Linked DNA regions of Mus musculus: regions 2, 3 and 4 are each reported to be linked to region 1. The links are microRNA targets in miRTarBase. Many come from high-throughput screens and were not tested one by one. Region 1 holds a microRNA gene; each other region holds the end of a gene's coding sequence.
What was found. The annotated mature microRNA mmu-miR-465a-5p reads UAUUUAGAAUGGCACUGAUGUGA and lies in region 1 at 3,501-3,523, opposite strand. An mRNA with a match to its seed (bases 2 to 7 or 8) in the 3' UTR can be bound and repressed. Matches are read on the target gene's strand: a 7mer-m8 pairs with bases 2 to 8, a 7mer-A1 pairs with bases 2 to 7 and ends in A, and an 8mer does both.

Region 2: miRTarBase lists Cdc37 as a target of mmu-miR-465a-5p. The part of its 3' UTR that is shown has no 7-base or 8-base seed match.
Region 3: miRTarBase lists Ybey as a target of mmu-miR-465a-5p. Seed matches in the 3' UTR shown: 7mer-A1 at 2,407-2,413.
Region 4: the mRNA of Gid4 is a reported target of mmu-miR-465a-5p. Seed matches in the 3' UTR shown: 7mer-A1 at 3,549-3,555, 7mer-m8 at 3,079-3,085 and 8mer at 1,084-1,091.

What each region holds. Positions count from the first base shown.
Region 1 is chrX:66,835,599-66,841,465 of GRCm38, forward strand. It overlaps Mir465 (microRNA 465), which reads right to left and starts at 3,527; the gene lies at 3,454-3,527. Mir465b-2 (microRNA 465b-2) reads right to left here and starts at 244; the gene lies at 166-244.
Region 2 is chr9:21,135,541-21,141,407 of GRCm38, forward strand. Cdc37 (cell division cycle 37) reads right to left here. Exons shown (of 8, transcript NM_001378796.1): 6 at 5,413-5,595; 7 at 5,218-5,289; 8 at 3,891-4,423. The coding sequence ends at 4,268. Among named protein-coding and RNA genes, the nearest start is that of Tyk2, 7.2 kb to the left of the region's middle.
Region 3 is chr10:76,458,803-76,464,669 of GRCm38, forward strand. It overlaps Ybey (ybeY metallopeptidase), which reads right to left. Exons shown (of 5, transcript NM_172550.4): 4 at 5,455-5,523; 5 at 765-4,517. The coding sequence ends at 4,431. It overlaps 2610028H24Rik (RIKEN cDNA 2610028H24 gene), which reads left to right. Exons shown (of 8, transcript NM_029816.2): 8 at 1,685-2,416. Among named protein-coding and RNA genes, the nearest start is that of Mcm3ap, 7.2 kb to the right of the region's middle.
Region 4 is chr11:60,440,451-60,446,317 of GRCm38, reverse strand. It overlaps Gid4 (GID complex subunit 4, VID24 homolog), which reads right to left. Exons shown (of 6, transcript NM_025757.4): 6 at 1,041-4,339. The coding sequence ends at 4,276. It also overlaps the pseudogene Gm12268. Among named protein-coding and RNA genes, the nearest start is that of Drg2, 11 kb to the left of the region's middle.

The DNA.
Region 1 (5,867 bases):
AATAAATAAATAAATAAATAAATAAATAAATAAATAAATAAATAGAAGTAAAAAAAAAAAGAATGTGGCCATGTGGAAGCTCACCTATAATTACAGAAGGCACATTACATGTACCTACAGATATTCTGAACATTCATCTACAAGTCATATTAAATGTATAGTTGGTAAGCCTTACTCTACTTAGAAAGGCCCTGATCAATTTTTTATTTCATCAGATCAGCACCATTCTAAATAGGGCATTGCATACAAAGCCTTTAAGGAGATGTTCAAACATTCATAAACAGTCTTGTTAGCTTCATCAAACCTCTAATCATAGCCGTTAAGGGCCAAGTAAAGGGTCATACAGAATCCTACTACTATAGAAGTTTCTTTTAATATATATACACATATGAGGAATCAAAACAAAGTCACTAAATAATAGGGAAACCATGCTCTCCACATTACAACTTTCACCATCAAGTGAAACATGCAATGATGAACTGTTTATATCTAGTTGGATCATTAACCAAATGGTTTCCTCCAGCAAACAACTTAGGCTATTGTAAATATTTTGTAAATTGCAAAAACTCTTCATAAGGTGATATTATTGAACAAGGAAGTCAGAGTGGTACCTGTAGAATCAGCACCTCTACTAATCAGCATTCATGGTACTGAAAGTTACTCTGAATGATACCAGAGGATAAATGTAACCATCAACACAACTACAAACCATGTGCTCTACATGGTGATTTGCCTACATGCTGTACTGGTGAAATAGTGGCACAAATGCAATGCAAGTAACTAATTAATCTCTCAATGGGTTTAAGGCCTGCTGTACAAGATGGAACCCATATCCTGGGGTCAAGAATCTAAGTCATGGGCCTAGGAAAGAAACGCATGTTCTATTTTTCTTCTAAATGTACAATTAAATGACTCCTAAGGATGTTCTCCTATACGCATACCAGTGTTTTGATCAGCCATAATTAAAGTTTCCTCTTACAGTGGATGGAAAAACACAGACCCAGAACTGGGCAGGATGCAGAGAATGAGAGAATTTGAATAAATACAGGACAATTTAAAGTAGGTATTGCCTCAGCTAGATCCATCACTCTTAGTAATTTTATCACTGTACTCCATAGAGTGTAGAATTTATTAACTGACCTTTACTCATAAACCCTAGAAAAAAAACCAAAATACTATTTTAAACTTATGCCTTTTCCCAAATTCCCTAGCCATTTTATCACTAAATTATGAAATAGTCATCAATGAATTTGGTACCTATTCCCCCTATTGTACATAAAATTAGTGTTCTAATGCTCCTGGGTAAAAGAAAGTAACTGCATATATACTGCCATTTACACCCAGAGCACAATTTCAGGGCATGATGATTCTTGTTTTTACACAAAGATTTGTTCTTCATGTGTTTATAGGACTGAAACAAATCAAGACTATAGCCTGGTATATAGTGCTGATTTCACGTATCTTTACCCTTCCCCATACTTTCAACTGTAATTATAACATAAATAAACATAATATAACATACATAAAGAAATAGCTTTCATCCTGTTCTACTCAGGAAATTCTCTCACCATCAAAATTCTCCCTGAAAGTACATTTACTCATGTTTTTTCTTTAAATGAATACTCATCTCTGTATCAATGCAATATGTTGACTACTATTTTCTTTTTTGACAACTTTACTACATTTAGTATATATGGCTTATTTGCTTTTATTATTTACCTTTGTTTTCTAACCTGTACATTTTACAGTAAACAATTCTATGGTGAATACACCCTAAGTTACATTGATGTCCAGACAGTTACAATGCATCCTGCTATCAAAAACGTTTATCTCTCACATGTTTGAAGTTTAAACCAAATTATATCACCACAAATATTGTATGAGTGAGATTTATTTCAGACAAAGAAGTCCTGAAAATATCTAAGTCACCTATGCATCATCAACATTAGTTAACTGTTTTGTACTGCCCGAACATGTCCCATCATATCCTAGAGACTTTGTCATACTCCTAGAAAAGACTTGGGACTGTTCACAGGGTCCCCAATGGAGGAGTTAGAGCAAATACTGAAGGAGATGAACGGGTTTGCAACCTATAGGAAGAACAACAGTATCAAACAACCAGAACCCCTACATGCTATGGACTAATCCACCTTCCAAGAGTACACATGGAGGGACCCATGGCTCCACCAGCATATATAGTAGAGGACAGCCTTTTTGGGAATCAATGTGAGAAGAGGCCCTTAGTCCTGTGAAGGCTTGATGCCCCAAATGTAGGGGAATGCCAGGGAGAAAAATTGGGAGTAAGTGGGTGGGTGAGGTAACACCCTCACACAAGCAGGGGGAGGTTAGATGGGATGGGGGGGATATTGGTAAATGGGAAAACATTTGAAATGTAAATAAAGAAAATATCTAATAAAAAAAAAACAGAACAGAGAGTGGTGAAATTCAAGAAATCATGTAGTATCTTAAAACCTTGTATTTTGTTACATAAGAAAACTAAAAGAGGTATCAACCTGTTGGTCTTCTCTTTTCTTGACTTCCTTGTCTTTGCATATTATATATTGGGTAATCTATGTTTCTGGGCTAATATCCCGTTATCAGTGAGTGCATATTTAATGACTTCTTTTGTGATTGTGTACCTCACTAAAGATAATATCCTCCAGATACATCCATACATCCAAGAATTTCATAATTTCATTGTTTTTAATAGCTGAGTAGTACTCCATTGTGTAAATGTACCAAATTTTGTGTATACATTCATCTGTTGAGAAACATCAGGGTTCTTTGCAGTTTCTGGCTATTATAAATAAGGTGGCTATGAACATAGTGGACCATACCCTATAGGTGGAACAACAATATGAACTATCCAGTATCCCCAGAGCTCATATGCAGCAGCTTATGGCCTAATTGGCCATCATTGGGAAGAGAGACCTCTAGGTCTTGCAAACTTTATATGCCCCAGTACAGGGGAACACCAGTGCCATGAAGTCGAAGTGGGTGTATAGGGGATCAGGGAGCTGGGAGCATATAGGTTACTTTTGGGATAGCATTTGATATGTTAATAAAGAAAATATATAATAAAAATTTAAAAAAGAAAAAAATGAGAAAGAAACCTAAAGGATATGAATGTATTTCTAGATGACTATTATCTACTGTACAGCAAATAAGAAGGCCTGATCAATTCTGAAGGGAAAAGCAGAAGTAGATATGGTGGACAGGGAAAGTATACAGGGGAGGGGCTACAAGGTGTGTAGGGAAAAAGAAACTAGAATCTGGACATAATACACGAGGAAAGAATAAGTAAATTATAAATAAATAAATAAATAAATAAATGAATAGAAGGAAAAAAAGAATGTGGATATGTCCAAGCTCATCTATGATTACAGAAGGCACTTTTCATGTACCTACAGCTAATCTGAATATCCATCTACAAGTCATTAAACGTAGAAGGTGGTAAGCCTTACTCTACTTAGAAAGGCCCTGATCAATTTTTTATTTTATCACATCAGTGCCATTCTAAATAGGGCACTGCATACAAAGCCTTTAAGGAGATGTTCACACATTCATAAACAGTCTTGTTAGTTTTATCTCACCTCTAACCATAGCCATTAATGGCCAAGTAAAGGGTCATACAGAATCCTACTACTGTAGAAGTTTCTTTTAATATATATACACATATGAGGAATCAAAACAGAGTCACTAAATAATAGGGAAACCATGCTCTCCACATTACAACTTTCACCATCAAGTGAAACATGCAGTGATGAACTGTTTATATCTAGTTGGATCATTAACCAAATGGTTTCCTCCAGCAAACAACTTAGGTTTTTGCGAATTTTTTATGATTTGCAAATACTCCTGGTAAGGCGATACTGCTGAAAAAGGAAGTCAGAGTGGTACCTGTAGAATCAGCACCTCTACTAATCAGCATTCATGGTACTGAAAGTTACTCTGAATGATACCAGAGGATAAATGTAACCATCAACACAACTACAAACCATGTGCTCTACATGGTGATTTGCCTACATGCTGTACTGGTGAAATAGTGGCACAAATGCAATGCAAGTAACTAATTAATCTCTCATGTAAATAAAGAAAATATCTAGGAAGAAAAAAAAAAAGAAAAAAAGAATGATACCTACTTCCTCCTGATATTTATTCGAAAGACAATGACAGTAATCATCCCAATGTTCTAAAACACTTGTATTCCTTAACAAATTTAACTTGCATTCTTCTTATTTGAATGATTATATGGCAAAAAGTGAAAATGCTATACTTCCATGTATTTAATTTTTTTCTGTGATATCATACTGTTTTTATATTAAAAACATACTGTTGTAATAACTCAGAAGATGTCTGATTTATAAGTCCTCGGAAAGGCATTTGTGAGATTTGAGAACACATGTAGTGGTTACTTGTAGTTATTCTTCCATTACCATTCATTTCTCACCACAAACATTTTATTTTTGAGCATTACTGTACACAGAGATGATCTTAAAATGTAGTAATAAATAACCTACAATTAATTGTTCAATAGAATACAATTCATGTGGAATATAGAAGTCCTTTTCCAAGCCAAAGTTTTCAAAATGTCAACTACAGTGTTCTTTGCCTTACATCTTTCCTTCTTTTTCCTAGTCTATGTTAATCTTAATGATGGTTTGAATCTATGGTTTAAGTTCTCTCTCATTCACTTTTTCCCTGTAACAAGATCATAATCTTCATGATCATATTTTCTTTAATTCTCATGAGTTTCAAAATTGGGCATGGTAAATAAGAATGTATCCTGGAGACATCAAATGTGCATATTTAACCAGAGACACCAATTCAAGGGAAACTGCAAGTGTACTGACACTATCACTCAGAGATCACAAAAACTATGAAAGGTAATATGAATTGTTCACAAAGAAGTTTGGGACATATGGTGTTTAAAAGATGGGCCACAGTCTAGTTAAAATACAGATAAGTAGCTGCTTGAAAATTTTCTAAATTATCATTTTCTATCATCCTCTCCAGATTTTGTAACATGAGAAATAAAGAAAAATACTCTTACCATGAGCTGATTCAATCGTAAGTCATGCAAAAATAAAAAATTCATTTTCCTTTACCATATATTTTACCAAAGATCCTCTCAAATTATATTCTTTTCATCTACACAATAGTCAGCACTAAGAGAACAACATGTTTGTTACAATTATTGATAATACAATATAATAGGCCAAACAATTTTACCTTCATCTACTTTTAATCTGATAGATCCATGTTGAGAATTATCCATGAAAGTCACCTTAAGAGTGCCTGATAAACTGGCCATTGGTGACACAGATTTAAACCCAGCACTCTGGAGACAGAGGGAGATAGATCTCTGTGAATTTGAGACCAGCTAGGTCTCTCCAAAGTGAGTTCTAGGCCAGCCAGAGCTACCATAAGAAATTTTGTATTAAAACCAAACCTAACAGAACCAAAAATCTATAAATGGTGCCTGATAAAATAAATGTTTGGCAGGACAGGACTGGTATTAAAAAACATATCCACAAGTGTTTTAGATATATTACCCACACTATCCAGATGTTACCTATATATGGTAACAATATACAGACAATTCCTGCATCTTTATATACAGAGAGAGAGAGAGAAATGACTTTAGTTCAGTTGGCTGCCTGACTAAAGCAGAGCACTGCACATAGACTCTGCTAACTCTAATATCCACTACAGGTCTTGAGGATAGCATAATACACAAATTCCCAATTTATTTTTCAGGAGTTCTGGTGAGTGCCAAATATAATGACATTCACAGGAAGAAGTGAAAATATCACTATTTGCAGATGATAAAATATATATACGTGACTTCAAAAATTCCATCAGAG
Region 2 (5,867 bases), not on the chromosome of region 1:
GCCATCCACCTTGGTTTGGTTTTGTCCGAGACAAGGTCTCATTGGCCTGTAACATCCCATTTGGATAGGCAAGATGGCCGCAGGCTCCAATGGCTACCGGGCTAATGAGCATGCAGCACCCTTCTGCTTTTGTGTAGGTTCCGAGGCTCAAACCTCACTTCCTTTACAGTTCTTTGCAGACTGAGCTCTTCTGGGCTGACTGGGCTTCTCCCCCTCCCCCTCCCCCTCCCCCCTGTTTCTGTTTGGTTTTGTTTTCATATTCTTTTGAAAGATGGGCAGGGTCTGTGGAGTTCACTTTAGCCTGGGCTGACCTCAGACTCAAAGCCCTTCTGCTGTCTCAGCTTTCCAGATGTTGGAAGTACAGATATGAGTGCCAGCCCAAGTCTGCCAGTTCATTCACAGCAGGACAGACATCCCACATTGAACAGTGGAGAGAGAAACCAGCTACCTGAGGCTACTGGGAAGGCCTGTGTTTGTTCTTCTGACCCAGAGGTCTTGTAGAACTTCTGCACCCTAAACCTGTCCATTACTCAGCAGGAATACCCAAGGGGTTTCCCCAATGGGGACTTTCCATACGAAGAGGGACAAACCCAGGACAGCTGGAACAGGTTTCAGAAATGAGGGGATTCCCCTAAGCAAGGCAGGTCTTTGGGGGAAGGGCTTCCCTAAAGTTCCCACCAGACCTGGGAAAAGCCAAGATAAAGAATTGAAAACAAAGTCTGTTGTCTTCTGAATGGGAGGTCAGGGAACAGTCAGGCCCCTCTCTCCTGAGGACTGCAAGGTGACTTGCTGGGAGACTTTCAAAGAAGGTTCCATGTCCTGCTGTACATGTGTGTAGCAGTATTCTCTAGAAACTGTGTCAACCATGGCAGAGAAAGGAAAAACTACAGAAATAGGGTGGCAAAAGATGACAGCCCACAGATGCCACTCTGTTTCTGCGACACCCCCACCCCCACGTAGCTTTGTAGCTGTTTTACTTCTCCGTATGTAGGGTCATCAACTGAGCTGGTAAAAATGAAAGCAAAGGGCTTGCATTTCCCTGCAATCGAGGACCCGGTTCAATGTGTCTAGGAGCCTAGGGGGGTGGGGACAGGAAGCCACCAGAGACTTCCTGACAGCCCAAGCAGCTAATGGGCATCCCTCTACAATGAGCTGCTGAGATGGCTCAGCGGATAATGACACTTGCCACCATTACTGACATCAATACTTAGTTCTAGCTCCAGTTCCCACAGAGTGTAGACACAGAAACTCCAGCTGCTTTTCAATGTCTACACAATAAGTATATCAATAAAAATTTTAGACCTATTTGTGGAACTATTTTGTTATGAAAAAACAAAACAAAGCACACTGAGACAAGATAGCCTAGGCTGAACTCGGTCCATACTTGTGCCTCAGCCTCCCAAGTGCTGGGATTATAGACATGTACTCCGTAATCAGCTATGAGACAACTCAATGAGTTAAAAATATAACCAAACCAGACTGTCAAAGTAACTCACAACCTATGTTCATCACAGCACTAGGCAGACTGAGGTAGGTTGACTGTCACAAATTCCAGAGTAGCCTGTGCTACAGTGAGACTTAATCTCAAAAATCACGAGCTGGAGGAATTACTGTGGTCAAGAGCACTGATTGCTATCCCAAAAGAGCTCAATTCCCAGCAACCACATCATGGCTCATGACCTTAAAGTACACACACACACACACACACACACACACACACACCCCATGTGTTTGGATCACCTGGAACTGAGTTACACACACACACACACACACACACACACACCCCATGTGTTTGGATCACCTGGAACTGAGTTACAGACCTACCTTTCAACTAAAGAATACTGGGCTTGTAAAGATTTGTGGCTCACTCCTGCCCTCTGGTGGATAGACACTTGGACACAAGAGCATTCTGGCCATTCTGCAAATCTTTTCTGTGGGCCTACTGTGCGTGCTCCAGTCCCCTTTCCCAGTGCTGTGGGAGTCTCAGGGGAGAAGGGAAGGAAAGGCTCATAGTGCCTGGTAGTCTACAGGTCATACCACACCGGTGAGGCAGTCCTGCGGCTAGTGTGAAAGGTGAGAGGTTCAGAGAGCTCCCAGGAACATGTCTGGGAGGTGCACTGCACCGAGCTAGGGCTGGTTAAAATGTTTTTTCATTCTGTTGTTCCCTGAGATAGGATCTCACTGTGCAGCCCTGGCTGGCCTGCAAGTCACCATGTAGACTAGCCTTGCCTCAGATTTTGGAGATCAGCTGCTTGCTGTCTTCCAAAGGCTGAGCTGGGTCCTGAGTGAGAAGCAGTTCCCAGAGGACAATGCCCTAAAAGGGGGATGGATGAAGGGTCAGAATCTTGCCTTTGGCTGATTTCAACTGATGCAGCTCACTGCACCATTTTTGCATGTTTGTTCATTTGCTTATTAACTTTATGTTTTAGGTTACACTCTTCTGTAGTATGCTGAGTTGGCTCTCTCCTGACAGCAGGTAGCATGCTGTAGGAATTAAAACTGCCAAGCTTGGTGGCTAGTGCCTTTCACGGCTGAGCCATCTCACCAGGTCATGCAAGTTTACTTTCTCACGCGTAGCCCAGACTGGACAACCATGTGCTTTGTGTGTGCCATCGGCATTAGGCATGTGTACTGTGCCTGTGTACCGTAGGACCCAGAGGATGCCCAGTGGCCTGCTCTATCATGCTTCATGTTATTCCTACTCACAGTCTCTCAATCTGAAACAAGACCTGCAGCCACCAAGCCCCAGGGACACGGTCTTATCTCCAAAGACACCGAGGTTACAGGAAGTGCACACGGCCATGTCCAGCATTTTGGTGCTGGTATCTAAACTGAGGTCTTCTCAGGCCTCTGTATCGAGAGCTATCCTCTCAGTCCACCACCCTTAACTCCAGAATTAAATCCAACTTTGGGCCTGGGATTTGCAGATGTGGCACCACACCCAGTTTATGCAGGGTAGGGCTAGAAGCCAGAGCTTCCTGAATGCTAGGCAAACACTCTGTAAACTAAGTCCTTTAATTCATTTTCACCGAGACAGTGACTCACTGGTCAGCCTAGCCCGGCCTTGAACACATGACCCTTCTGTTTCATTCATTCTTCAGAATGATACATGTGCTTTAAAAAAAAAAAACAAACAAAAAACAAAAAACAAACATTGCTGGAACTGAAACCACGCTAAGCCAAGCTCTGCCACTAAACTCTAGCCAGAGCCCCAGGCTACATTCTTTCTAACAGGAGAAATCCTCAAAGTTGCTCCCCAGGACTGGAGAAAAGACTCAATGTTGCAGAGGACACTGTGTTCACTCCAAGTAGCCACATGGTGGACTGAGGGCCACTGGGAACTACAGTTCTAAGAGATTCTGGCCTCTGCAGCCACTACATGTACACGTACAGAACACTCATACACATAAATTAAATTTTAAGCCAGGAGTGGCTCATGCTTTTGATGCCAGCACTCAAGAGGTAGTGAGTGGCACGTGGATATCTGAGTTTGAGGCCAGCCTGGTCTATATAGTGTGTTCCCAAACAGCCAAAGATACATACAAAACCTATCTCAAAAAGACATTCGGGCGTGCGAGCGTACACACACACAAATAAAAATTTAGAATAAGATGTTCCCCTAGCAGAGGCAAAGTCTAGTGTGAAAGGCCACATATATCTCATGCCCAGGTTACCCTCAAACTCGTGTCCTCTTGTCTCCATGGAGTGCTAGGGGGAGAGGGGAGACAGAGGGAGGAGTTAGGGGAGGCTGAGACAGACAGTTGGAGAGACACAGAAGGCCTAGGACTTCTGAAGGGTGAGGACAGGGCAAAGGCATGGATGGCTGTTAGCACTCCAGTTCTCCCCACCTAGGTTCACCCTCTGCCTCAAACAGCACTGAACCAGCGGCCTCCAGCACCTGGAACTGTTTATTGGACATTGTTGCCAGTTGCAGGACAGGAAGCTAGACAGAAGAAAAACAGTGACCATAGACCCATAGGGACAGACCTTGCCTAGATGGGGACATTTGTATCCCCAACCCGGTGGACCAACCTGGCAACTGCTGCCCCTCCCCAGGCCCCCAGGACTTTGGCATAACGCTGATGGGGGTAGGAGGCTGCAGACAGCAGAGCCCCTCAACCCGAAGCAGAGAGTCTGATGAGCGCTGGGGACAGGTGGGAGGAGAGGGGACACGGGGCAGGCCATGGGCCAGGATGTGAGGAGCAGCACAAGTGAAGAAGTTGGGAGCTAGGGACATGGTGGCTAAGTTTCCTTTTCCGGAGAAGGGTCACGCACTGACGTCTTTCTCGTTGCCCGCTTTGGGGACGGCTTCCAGCAATGGGTCCCCGGGGCCCGCCTCCTCCCCCTCCTTGGCCTCACCAGACTTGGAGTTGGGGACCCAGAGGCCAGAATCGATGCAACGCTGCATGTGATACTTGGCATCCTGTGGAGAGAGGGAGGACAGCAGATGAGGCCATGCCAGCAGCATGATGCCCAGTGTCCCCTGCACCTCCTTCAAGGCTGCTCAGCACCCACTCCACCCAGGACTGGTAATATAGAACTGCAGAAGCTAGCATGTGACTCAGCGGGTGCAGCAATTGCCCAGTGTTCTGAGACTCTACCATTCCAGCACCACAGACAAGCAGATATGGTGGTACACACTTGTGATCCCACCAATTAGGAAGTGGCAGCAGGAGGGTCAGGAGCAAAGGTCATCAGTTATGTAGCACATTTGAGGTCAGCTTGGGCTACATGAGACCCTGTCTCAAAAAACAAACACACAGACAAAAGGGAGTGGTGACAGCTATGCTCAGCAGTTAAGAGTACTTTCCTCCAAATCATGAGGACCAGAGATTACAATCCAGCACTTAAGTAACCAGCGAGGTAACCTGAGCACGCAGGGGACAGAGCAGCTCTATCTGTGAGTCTGGAGCTAGCCTGGGAACAGAGGCAGGTCTATCTGTGTGAGTCTGAAGCTAGCCTGGTCTACACAGTGAGATCCTATCTCAGAGAAAAAAGGTGGTGGTGGTGGGGCAAGGAATTAAAAGATTTTTTTAAAGTATACTGGTATTGTACTGCGTGCGTGTGTGCAGAAGGGTGTCGTTCTCAGACAGGGTCTCACTGAATTGCTCTGGCTCATCTTAACTAAGCCTGGCCTTGGACTCACAACCCTGCTCTTGGATGACAGGGTTGCACCCCCTGGCCATCTGCCATCTGCCACAGGGACTAGGGACTCACAGTGGGATCCATTTTGCTGATGGCGTCTTGCAGCATCTGTACATCCTTCACATCAAAGCACTTCTGCAGCTCCTGAGTACAGAGGGGCCAGGGTGAGGGCCTGGGCTTGGGATGGGTGGGAGCAGAGGGGCGGGGGCAGGGAGCAGCAATGGGTATACATCACCCTCCTCCCTCCTGGGCCCTGGGGAGTCACACCTCAGGCAGGGATTCGTAGACCTCCACGGGGTCCAGGCCACCAGGGCCTAGCCTCTTCTTGCGCTCCTCCTCTTCATATTCCTTCATGGCCTTCTCTATTCGCAGCTTGGCGCGGCCCCGCACTCGCTCCTTAAAGGCTTCCAGTTCATACTTGAAGCCCTCCATGTACTGGTGGTCAGCGGTCTGTGGAAGAGGGTGGGTACTGCTCACTGCAATTCATAACCAGATGTTTAGGGAGGTGAAGGCTCCCTGAAGCTTTTCCTGAACTCCACCATGGCTACCTCAAGATTTGGCCTTTGTCTCCTGCATTCAGCGCCCATCCTACTAGCTTGTGAGACCACCTGCTAATGGCCAGCCGCCTGGCTCGGCTCAACAGCACCAGCTTGGTATCACATCTTCAGGTGTCCTCCAGCAAGGTCTTACAGAAACCTCAGTTCTGGATTGTTCTACCCTGC
Region 3 (5,867 bases), not on the chromosome of region 1:
AATGACTTCATTTTAATGTGAAAGAAGCAAGCTGAAGAATTTGTGATATGACTTCAGGGCCGGGCTTGAGAGTTAAACTCAGCAGTTAAGAGCGCTAAAGGTTCTTCCAGAGGTCCTAAGTTCAATTCCCAGCAACCACATGGTGGCTCACAACCCTCTGTAATGGGGGATGGGATGTCCTCTTCTGGTGTGTCTGAAGACAGTGGCAGTGTCCTCATGCATGAAATAGATATTTCTAAAGAAGGAGGAGGAGGAAAGAAATAATAATAATAATACAGGGCATATACAGGGCTAACAGGATTGTTCAGCAGGTAAAGGTGCTTGCTCTCAAGTCTGATAACTGAGTTTTATTCTCAGGATATGGGGGCTTAGGTGGTGGTGGTAGGTGACCAACTTCTACAGGTTGGCCTCTTGCCTCCATTTTTGCATGGGATGTGCCTGGACCCCAGCCCCTGTGGCTGGTTAAATGTAATTAAAAAGAAAATAAGAAACTGGGCACGGTGGTGCACATCTTTAGTCCCAGCACTCCAGAGGCAGAGGCCAGCCTGGTCTATATAGTTAGTTCTAAGCCAGCCAGAGTTGCACAGAAAAACCCTGTCTCTAAAAACAAACAAACAAACAAAAAAGGGCTAGAGAGCTGGCTCAGTGGCTAAGTGTTAGGAGTGCTTGTTGCTCAGGTTTAAGTCATAGTGAAAGAACCTAGTGGAGAAACCCCCCACTCAATTCCGAGTTGGTGTGCACCCAAGGAATCACGAGAGACTGTCTTGATGCAAACACATGAGGTAGTTTAATGACGGAGCTCCGGGCCGACATGTATCTCACACAGGAGATTGCGGTTGTCGACCACTAGGCTTGAAAGCTAGGGGTTTTTATAGAAAAGGGTCTGGGGCTGGGGGAGGAATTGGCGCGGTTTCACACGATTGGTTCATTTAAACATCAGCAGAGTGTATGTGCAGATGGAGGTAACAGCAGAGCATCTGGTTAACATTTAACCCATGTCAGAAGGGTGGGAGATAGGGAGGCGCCAGGCCAGTCTGGACATGTCTTTGCATTCTCTTTATCTTTATGGCCAAGCAGCCTCAGGAATGTCTTAATGATGGGCCTGCCCAGGCATGTCCTGGCCTGTTCTGCTATGTTCTCAGTCCCAGGCTTCAAAGCTCACAAACAACTCTTTGGGCTATTACATGAATCACAGGACTCAAGTTTTATTTTCTTTCAATAGCACCACATGGCAATCCACAACTCTCTGTGACTCCAGTTCCAGGATAGTCAATGTCCTCTTCTGACCTCCAAGGGCATCAGGAGTGCACACATAAATACACACAGGCAAGATACTCATACTTATAACATTTTATAATCATAACAAGGCCCAGGTACATGTGAGGTCCACATGCATGCACGTGGGCACTGCAGGCTGTGTAAGTATGGGTATTTACACACGCTGTTTACAAAGCACTGTTCACTCCGGGAGGGTTGGATGGTTGCTCTCTCTCCTCCATCTCCACCCCAGCCCATCAGGTAGAGAAGAATCCATAAAGACAGACCTGTCTTTCAGTGCGCCTTGGGGTGTGGTTCCAGAGAAACTTGGTTTTGTTAAAAGCACCAGTTAAAGAGCTCACATAATTTCCTTCCTAGATGATGTTTCTAACACGATTTTCCTCTCATATGATTATTGATCTGATAGAAGGAAGATATTTGGCAGATGTTTTGTCTCAGATGGCCTGGCAATGCTGGGCTAACAAGGAGGAAGTAGCCTGGGAGCATCCTGGCTCTGGGAGCACCATCAGCCTCTGGAAGCTATGGGAGTGTACATGGACCCACCCTCACACACAGTCTTCCCCGTCCCTTTCAAGCCTGCTGTCTGAGGACCACCTGTGGGAGACTAAAGAGTCTGAGCAGGCCCTGTAGTGGGCTTAGGGGGTCCCCAGTGACTCAGGGAAAAGCTTCTCCTGGCCATGCCCCTTAACAGTGGTGACAGGGACTGCACCACTGTGCACAACTTTACTCTGAGAAGATGCACAGTACGCCCCAGAGATTTTAAAGATGGCTCAAGTGTGTGAGCGGCCAATCCACAGAGTCCATGAAACTCTCATCAAGATCACAGGCCCCAGCTGGAGAGATGGCTCAGCGGTTAAGAGCACTGACTGCTCTTCTGAAGGTCGAGTTCAAATCCCAGAAACCACGCAGTGGCTCACAACCATCTGTAATGAGATCTGACGCCCTCTTCTGGTTTATCTGAAGACAGCTACAGTGTACTTACATATAATTAATAAATCTTTGGGCTGGAGCGAGCAGGGCCGGAACGAGCAGAAATCCTAAGTTCAATTCCCAGCAATCACACGATGGCTCACAACCATCTACAGTGTACTCATATACATAAAATAAGTAAATCTTTTTTTTATTAGGTATTTAGCTCATTTACATTTCCAATGCTATACCAAAAGTCCCCCATACCCAAGTAAATCTTTTTTAAAAATTAAAAAACATCACAGGCCCTTCAGGGAAGTGAGGGACGAAATGAAATCTGGAATAAACACAAAGTGAGGAAGCCCCAAGTGAGGATGCTGTGCCTCCTGGAACAGGGCAGATAGTGCCCCCTCAGGCTTGGAGTCATCATAACAATGTGGCTGGACTCAGAGACAGCTGCTGACCAACCCACAGATTTAGGGCAGCTGAGCAACAGGCTGGGAATGTGGCAGAGCCTTGCCAAGCCTGACAAGATCCTGGATTCCATGCCCAGAGCTGCAAGGTCAAACCAAACCAAAAACAAAAACAAAAAAAAAAAACAAAAAAACCCCCCAAAAAACCAAAAAAACCAAAAACCCCACCAAATTAAACCAGAAATACCAAGCAGAGAAAAAGGGAAATAGAAAAATGAAGGGCACAGAAGCAGTCATTCCTTAAGGATGCTCAAAGGCGAGGAACCAGTTAGATGGCCGAGAAGAAGGGAACAGGCTGGCATAGGTGTATATGCGGGTACACCCAGCAGAGGGGTCAGGAAACCCTATCTAGGTTCAAGGTCCCTGGCTACCTGCTGGGAAGACTCTCGTGATCCAGATTTGCACAGACATTTGCATGTTGCTTTGAACTAGACTTCAGGTCACCAGAATTCCATGTTCCAGGCCTTGAGCAGAACTACCATGCCTCTAACAGCCAATAGGGGAGCCCCAGTGGCAGGACTACGGTGGCCTGCAGGATGTCAGTGGGATGGCAAGGCTGACAACCAGAGTTCCATCTCTGGGGACAAAATAATAAACGAGAGAGACATCTCCCCCCAGCTGACCACCCCACCCCCCGCAGTGGGAAATGTGTACCCACACATGACACACACCAAATAAAATCCTTTTTTTTTTTGGTTTTTCGAGACAGGGTTTCTCTGTGTAGCCCTGGCTGTCCTGGAACTCACTTTGTAGACCAGGCTGGCCTCGAACTCAGAAATCCGCCTGCCTCTGCCTCCCAAGTGCTGGGACTAAAGGCGTGTGCCACCACTGCCCTGCTCCAAATAAAATAAAGGTCATCTAAAACAATTACAAACAGCAACACAGATGGGGGACACTCCTGACTCTCTGGCCCCAGGAGACAAGGTCTGTGGGCTGTCCCGTGGTGTCTGCAGCCAACAGCTTAAGAAAGGCGAGGGCACAAGGTGTCCTTTTGGGCTTGCTGGTCTGCAGGCGCCTCCTCCTAGGAGAACAGGCTTCAGTGTTCTGGCACGTTCCTCCCACTTCAGGGAGACAAGGCAATCTGCCCAGACTCTACAGCTAGAAACCCAAAGAAGCACAAGAGCGTCCATGTTTCTTCTCTTAGAACGCCTGATTCTGCTTACAACAGAGTCCGCATAGATTTCTAATCAGAGTAAGGGCTGACAGGCACTTCCTTGGTACTTGGTCCACTCACAGAGTGAAGCTGTAGTGTGGGCTGAGGCCCTCCAGGGCAACAGGACCAGCAGAGATCCACTGTGGAGGTAAAAAGGCCAGCTTAGGAAGTTTGGGAAGGTCATGAAACACTTGCCCCTCCAGAAGGAAGAGGCTAATTAACATTTCTCAGACCTTAGGGCAGAACTGCCCTGTGGGTGGGGACACATCCTGCAGGACACCTTCAGACAAGGGACGTCCTTGTCACTTCATTCCCTAAAGACCAATCAGTTTAAAGGGTGCACTGCTCCGCCAATCACGTTGTGCCTAGTTGCTGATGCTCTCTTCTGCCCCTGGAAACCATATAAAAACTCCCTGAATGGGTGCTGGGGGTCGCCGCCTCTCCTTCGGGTCTGGGAAGACCCCAGTGCACTGGAACAAAAATTCCTCTTGCTTTTTGCATCTATTCCGGCTCCACGTGGTCCACTCAGGGGCTCCCTGGTAAGCAGAGGCTCCCTGGAGTCTTGCAGAGGGACGGGACTCTGTCCAACAAGTTCTCTGTCTCAAAGCTCTGTGGCATCAGTAGAGGCCCCTGCTCAGGGGTTGGAGCCTAGCTCCCGTGTAGCGGCTCAGCTCCTCCAGCACCAGCTTCTCCTGGTTGTACATCTGGAACACAGCAGAGCACAAGCTCTGGAGGGACTCTGGGGACCCTTGTCCCGAGTCCGAGTCCTCCCAGGGTTCACCTCCTTCTGAAGCCCCCCTAGCCGCTCCCCCAGGCTCTGCACAAGTCTATCAGCAGCACCTGAACAGAGACTCAGAGAGCTGTAGGTAGATGCAAGATCAAAGGACAGGACAGCAGGGAGTGGGCTCCCAAAGGAAGGGGGAGAAGCTGGGGTACACATGGGGCCCAGGGAAGTGTGGGGCAGGGAGGGAGTGGGCATAGACAGGGCTGGGTGGTAGCAGAAGCAGACTGCGATCTACTTTTAATTTGAAAAAAAAAGTTCATTCATGGGTGCTGGAGAGATGGCTCAGCAGTGGAGAGCACTCACTGCTCTCACAGATCGCCTGGGTTCGGTTCCCAGCACCCGTATCAGGAAGCTCACAACCAGCTGTAGTTCCAGTTTCAGGGGATCTACTCCTTCCTCTGCCTCTGCAGATAACCAGCACACACATTACCTACAAACGTAACCCAAGCCTATTGGACAACGTAGTGGGCTTTAAGTGTGGTACCCATTGGCCGTTAGAAGAAAAAAACCATGACTTAGCATTATTTGTTGCCAACTGATGGGTAAGGGTTTTTTTTATTATTTTTTATTTTTTGTATGTTTTTCTGAACATTAAGTGTCCCTTGACCCCCATCGATAATAGCTAGCATTCAGGGAATTTAACTTTCACCTGCCTGTCCAGGGTGCCTTTCAGGAGTGAAGTATCATGAGGAGCCAGAGCCTTCAATACAAGACCTCACCTTTCCAGGCAGGATGGATGGAGGCTGTAGTTCGGCCTCTTGCCATGGGGTTTCGAGGTGGGGGAGGGGAATGCTGGGCAGCAGCCTAAGGGTTAAGGGTGTATCTGGGGTAGCCCCTTGCACAGGTACCCCTCCTACCTTTTGCCACTCGGCTTTGGAGCTGTGGGTGAAGCCCAGCAGGTGACAGAGTCCATGGGTGGCTGTGACCTGTTGGAGTAATTGAGAAGTCAGCTCAGGGGATGATCTACCAGACGGCCGCCCCTTCGGGCTCACAGAGGACCCTTGTAAGACTGAGTTGTCCTACGCCAGGACCCTGGGGCAGGATACACAGTTGCTGCCCTGGGTTGGAGTTAATACTCAGTTCTCTCCTGTCTAGGCAAGTGCTACCAGTGAGCTACATCCCAACCTCTATCGCCTCCTGTCTAAAACAGAACAATTCATTCACTCAGTTCACTTAATTAGTGTGGAGCAACACTGTTTGGGGTTGAGACCAGGTAAAAAGAGTTGATTGTCCCTGGCAGTATTGGGAATCTGACTAGATAGAATTAAGC
Region 4 (5,867 bases), not on the chromosome of region 1:
TTGCCATCTCAATACTGGTGTGCCAAGAAATTCCTTCCAGATTTCTAAGGAAGTTCATTACTTTTGTTTGTTTGTCTTTCCAGACAGGATTTCTCTGTGTAGCCCTGGCTGTCCTGGAACTCACTCTGTAGACCAGGCTGACCTTGAACTCAGAAATCTGCCTGCCTCTGCCTCCCAAGTGCTGGGATTCAAGGCATGCGCCACCATTGCCCAGCTAGGAAGTTCATTTCTAACAAAATGGAAAGAAGACAAAAGGTAGAGTGGCTGGCTGAGCACTGCCAGGCACCTCAGTCTGTAAAGACATTATTCCAAGTTACTCCCACCATATAAAACAATTTTTAGGCTGGGTAGAACCCTAGAAAATAATTTTACAAGAAGCTTTTGACTCTTTTATGAGGGAGGACTGCAGCCTTTAAGTGGACCCCAAAACAGCACCACCTCTCTGGCACAGATTAATGAGATATTCCTGGGAATAAAACTTATTATAGAAGCCACCCTGTAAGTTTACTGGGGAGAATTCAAATGGTAGTGGCATACAGGCATATGAGAGATTTATGAGGGGTTTGGAAAGACTGCTTAGCAGTTAAAAGTACTTGCACTTGTAGAGACCCCAGGTTTGATTGCCAGCACCTACATGGCCTTTCACAACCACCAGTGAAAGGAGATTCCATTTTGAGAGGAATCCAAAAACCCTCTTCTGGTGTCTGTGGACACTAGGGACTACATAGTATACAGACACAATGCAGGCAAAACACTCATACATACCACCAAATCTATGAGAGAAATCAAGGCAAGAACTTATAAGCTACGCTAGATGGAAGAAAGGGTGTTTTCCCTCACCTGACCCACACCCAACACTGTGGCATCCATACCGATCTGATAGCTGCGACTCCTCAACTTGGCTCAGTACACCTGCTGCTGAAGCAGCACACGGCCCAGCCATTCACCTGATTAAACCTAGGCTTGACCTGCTGGTTCCTGCTCCAGTCACAAAGGAACAGATTTCTCCTAGTGGAATGTTTTGACTTACAAATTGGACACACACTGCTTAAATACCTTTATTGGTTTTTTTTTTTCAAAAATTATTTAGACATTGATAGCTCTGCAAAATAATTCTCCCATTGCAAATCTTCAAACCCTTTCCACAGGTCTTCCATAAAGAAACAAAATATTTGTACTTTGCGCCCATTCAAATCTAATTTTTAAAAAACATTTAAGATTCAAAATCAAGTATTTTCTTTCCCAGAACTTGTTAGTAATTTTAAACCACAATGTAACATACGTAATGGCATTTCTTTTTAAAAATTAGCTTATCAGTGACTATTTTATGAGGAAAAAAAATCCATTCAAGGCCTTAAAGGGAATATGAATTCCCTGCTTCTGAAAGCAAAAGACATTGAGAAACCCCTTTGTTCCACTGGAATCTGACTCCAACACTGCTAACAGGGCCAGTCCACCCTGACTGTCTACTTAACATGAGGCTTTGTCTACTTACTTTTGGACTGCAGCTGACATGCTAGGCCATCTTAAAGGAGATAGGTGGGTAGACTGGTAAAGCAGGGAACGAGAGGGCCACAGCTGGCCACAGCAGTGGAGCCTTCTGAGTGGAGGGTAAGAGAAGAGCAGCCAGACCTCTAGTCCCTGCCTGGGGGTTGGCTCGTTGGAGTAGAGAACAGTAGGACATTTGCAGTCTGCACCTATTTTTCAATGTTAGATACAAGTGCCAGGCAAAGATATTGCACACAGGACCAGAGGCATGCAAGCCACTGAGCAGCTGGTTAAAGAGCTACCAATGGAGACAAGTCCCAGAGGTCCTCCAGGGACAGAAAAGGAAAAGAAGTCACTGTCCACCAGCTAGGAGTTACTAAGAAGTGGAACATGTTTATTCCTGCCCAGTGTTCAGGGGCAGACTTCTAAGCAGCAAGTCTTCAGGTAGGTCTGAAGTCTGTCTGCTAAAGGCATCCTTCCCTCATCTTTCTAAGTAGAGCTGGAACACTTCCCTAGCTAAGAAAAAAAAAAAAAAAAAAAGCAGGGTGTGGTGGCTCACACCTTTAGTCCTAGTACTCGCTCTGAGTAGTCAGGTGGATCTCAGTGAGTTCAAGGTCAGCCTGATCTACAAAGTGAGCTCCAGGCCAGCTAGAGTTACAAAGTGAGACCCTGAAGACAAAGAGATCAAAGGAACAAAAGGGGGGTGTAGGGGGAACCCCTATGCTCCGACCTGGCCTGCCCAGTTTAGAGGAGAGGCTGTTCACTGACGTGCTACTAGAGCTACACACGAGCCCTAGCTTCAGGGTGACTCCATCCACTGCTGAATGATACCTGCCCAGCACACAATGGTTCAATAGCATGGTGGAAAGCCAGAGGAGCAGGTGCTGCAGGGAAAAGCCAGCAGTCAGTCTTTCTGCCTCCTTCACTCTCCAGTGCTGCCCCTCAGCTTAAGTGAAGCGATGGTGGCCTGTGGTGTAAGCCAGGTGCTTCTGACCAGAGCCGGCCATCTCATATTCAGTTGAGTTTTGATGTCAGATGAAGTTTAGGTTCACCTTAGACTGACCCTTTCTCCTGGGCTCAGGCTTCTGAGCAGCTGGGCCTCGAGGTGCACTGCCGTACCCAGGCTGCTTCTCAAGGGTAAGGAACCACTGATTCAGCCCTAGCGATGGATGTGGATTCTTTTCTTCTACCTAAGTCTTGGGATGATGTATTGTTATGGTTTCTGAGCCCCAGCTTTACTGACTGGGTAAGTTTTGGGGCTATGGATATTGCCAAGTACCTGCTGGTTTCTTTCCCCACTTCTGCTCTCTTAAGGTTCCCAGATATTCAGTATTAGTAACACACAGCACAATACAACAGCAGCCAACCTGCTACCCCTTGGTGTTCCCTTTTTCCAGCACTGGAAATGGAAGCCAGGTCCTTCCTCATATGTGACAAGCTAGTGCTTGGTCAGCTGCACTCCCAGCCCTGATGCTGTATTTATTTTAAAGCTTTTCCCCTTGTGTTTGGACCTGTAAACCACCAGAATTCCCCAAAGTCCTGACAATATTGTGGACTACAACTGATGCCAATCTATTAAGCTTTTTAAACATTTAGAAAAACCAAACCAAACCAAACCAAACCACTCCCCTCTCTCACACTTTGGCACATGAGCCTCGAGTTATTTGAGTGCATTTCTTCCTGCCCACGCCATGACAACATTTCAGTCATCCTTTCCGGAGAATGGGGGCCCCCTCTGCCTTTGGAAAAGGTTGTCATGACACACTGATGTTTTGAGTAGCAAAAGGAGGAGGCGCAAATGCTCAGCCGGCCCGGAAACAGTTCCTGTGTTTAGCACTGTGATTTAAGCAATGCTGCAAAACTTCTGTACCAGGATGACCTGTTTCAAAACTGCTGGTTGATTAAATATACATATAGACATAGATATAAAAGTCACTACGTCAACATTTGCTGTTTTCAATGTGAAAACGATAAATGTAATTCGGAATAATTGTGCATTTGCCATAGGGTCCTTGTTAAAGGTACCATAAAAATAATAATTTTGTAATAAAAAACTCTTTTATTTAGTATTGCCCTCAAGTTCAGAAGTTTGGAGCAAATGTACTGAGAAAGCAGTTTGGGATCTACTCCTACCAGGGATCTGGAAGCCTTAAATTTAGTGATCCCCAACAGCAGGCCCAGAAAACCCGACAGCCATGTGCTAGTCTTGCATTGTTAACACACAGGGCCCTACAAGACATCAACTGGAATCAAAGGTCAATGAGGCCCACCAGGGACCCCATCTCATCTCATTGGTGGTATATGCTGGGCCCAGGCAACTCACATAGAGCTCTGGGGCACAAGATGCTGGGCTCTCCCTTTCCTTGGGCTACCAAACAAGCAACTGAGGAAGGAGTAGGGCCTGGGTGGAGACCACTGAGCACCAAGGCTAAGGTGACCCAGGAGCTGACCTTCCACTTGGCTAGAGGCAGGCCGAGGAAAGATGGCATTTCAGTGATGCAGAAGTTAGCTGTGCAGGAAGGAAAGTGCATTTAAGGTTGTTCAGAAACAGATGGTGACCACAATGCCACTGAGAGGAAGGAGGGTGGGAGGTGAACAGCTCCCTCTGCCTGCCTGCAGGTTGGCCATGCTCCTTGGATCCTGTAGGTTAACATTCATGCTTTCTGATGAAGTCTGCTCGTGAACAAACAGGAACACACCTCTCCTGGTTCTGGCAGGTACATAATTTCCTCGCAAAGCTCTTTGTTGCCAAGTTCAGTTTTATTTGGCCACTGTTCTGAACCTCTGTCACCGGAACTCATAGATGGGTGCACTGTGTTCAGGAACATGGGTCAGGTTGAGGGACTGATACCTGTAATAGAGGAGAGACAGAATAGAAGAGTTTTCTTAGGAATCCTGAACAAAGGCAACTGGAGAACTCTACCTAGAGTCCCCGCCAATTATATTCAGATTGAGGTGCTAAACCATTTCCAGTTACATAAAGGGACGGTCCTACTATGTAGCTGTAGCTGGCCTGGAATTCCCCATGTAGACCAGGCTGGCCTCAGACTCACTGTGATCCATCTACTTCTGACACCTCAGTGCTAGGATTAAACATATGTGGCATCAAACCTCAATTTTGCTAAATTTTTGTTTTCTTTTTATTTTGTGCATGCATGAGATAGATAGATAGATAGAGAGAGAGAGAGAGAGAGAGAGAGAGAGAGAGAGAGAAAGTAAAAAGAGGGCATAAGACCCTGTGGAACTGGGATTATAAATGATGAGCCACCATGTGATGCTGGGAATCAAGACCTAAGTCCTGAGGAAGGGCAGACATGCTTTTAACTGCTGAGCCATCTCTCTAGACCCTCCCTTCCCCATCTTGTTGTATTTTTGAAATGGGGTATCACTGTGCATCCCAGGCTGGTCCTGAACTCCTGGAACCAAGCAATCCACCTGTCTCAGCCTCCCAAGTAGCTGGAGATACAGGTGTATAGCACTGTGTCTGGCTTTGTTAACTTGTTTTACCTAACTAGTTCCCTCTGTTCCTTTTTTGTTGTTCCACCTGTACCATGCCTAAGAATTGCTTTTACAAAATAATTGTAATACAGTTCACAAAAATAGGGCCCTAAGGGGCTGGGGCTGGGCATGGTGACACAAGCTTTTTTTTTTTTTTTTTTTTGAAACAGTTTCTCTGTGTAGCCCTGACTGTCCTAGAGATACAAGCCTTTTTTATCCCACCACATGAAGGCAGAAGCAGGTAGATCTCTCTGAGTCTGAGGCCAGCTTAGTCTACATAGAGTTCTTCTTCAGCCAAGGGTGCATAGTGAGAGCCTGTCTGAAATGACAACAAAACAAAACAAAAGTCAAGCCTGGAGTGCAGGTCTGTAATCCGAGCTACCCAGGAGCTGGAGGCAGAAGAATACAAGTTCCCGATCTCTTCAGTTTATGGTCACCACAGTAAACTATGTCTACAAACAAACAAATGTAACTCAGTCCCTAGGTTCACAAAACAAACAAAACTAAAGAACAAAGAATTTGAATCGATGTAGGCTAGGGTCATTCACAAGTAAGAATAAAAACTAAAACAACAAAAACGGAAAGAAATTAGTGTCTCATTTTATTTTTTAAAAATGTATTTAACTTTTATTTATGTGTGTGAGTCTGTGTGAGTTTATGTGTACTACATATGTGGGGGTACTTGGAATGAAAGAGCATTTGATTCTCTGGAACTGGAGTTGCAGGCAGCTGTAAGCTACCATATGAGTGGTGAGATCTAAACCTGGGTCCTCTAGAAGAGCATGAAACTCTCCTTACTGCTGAGCCATCTCTCCAGCCCACAGTGCTCCATTTCAAAGAATAAATAAACTGGTACAGCTAACTCTCAAGGTATAGGAAGG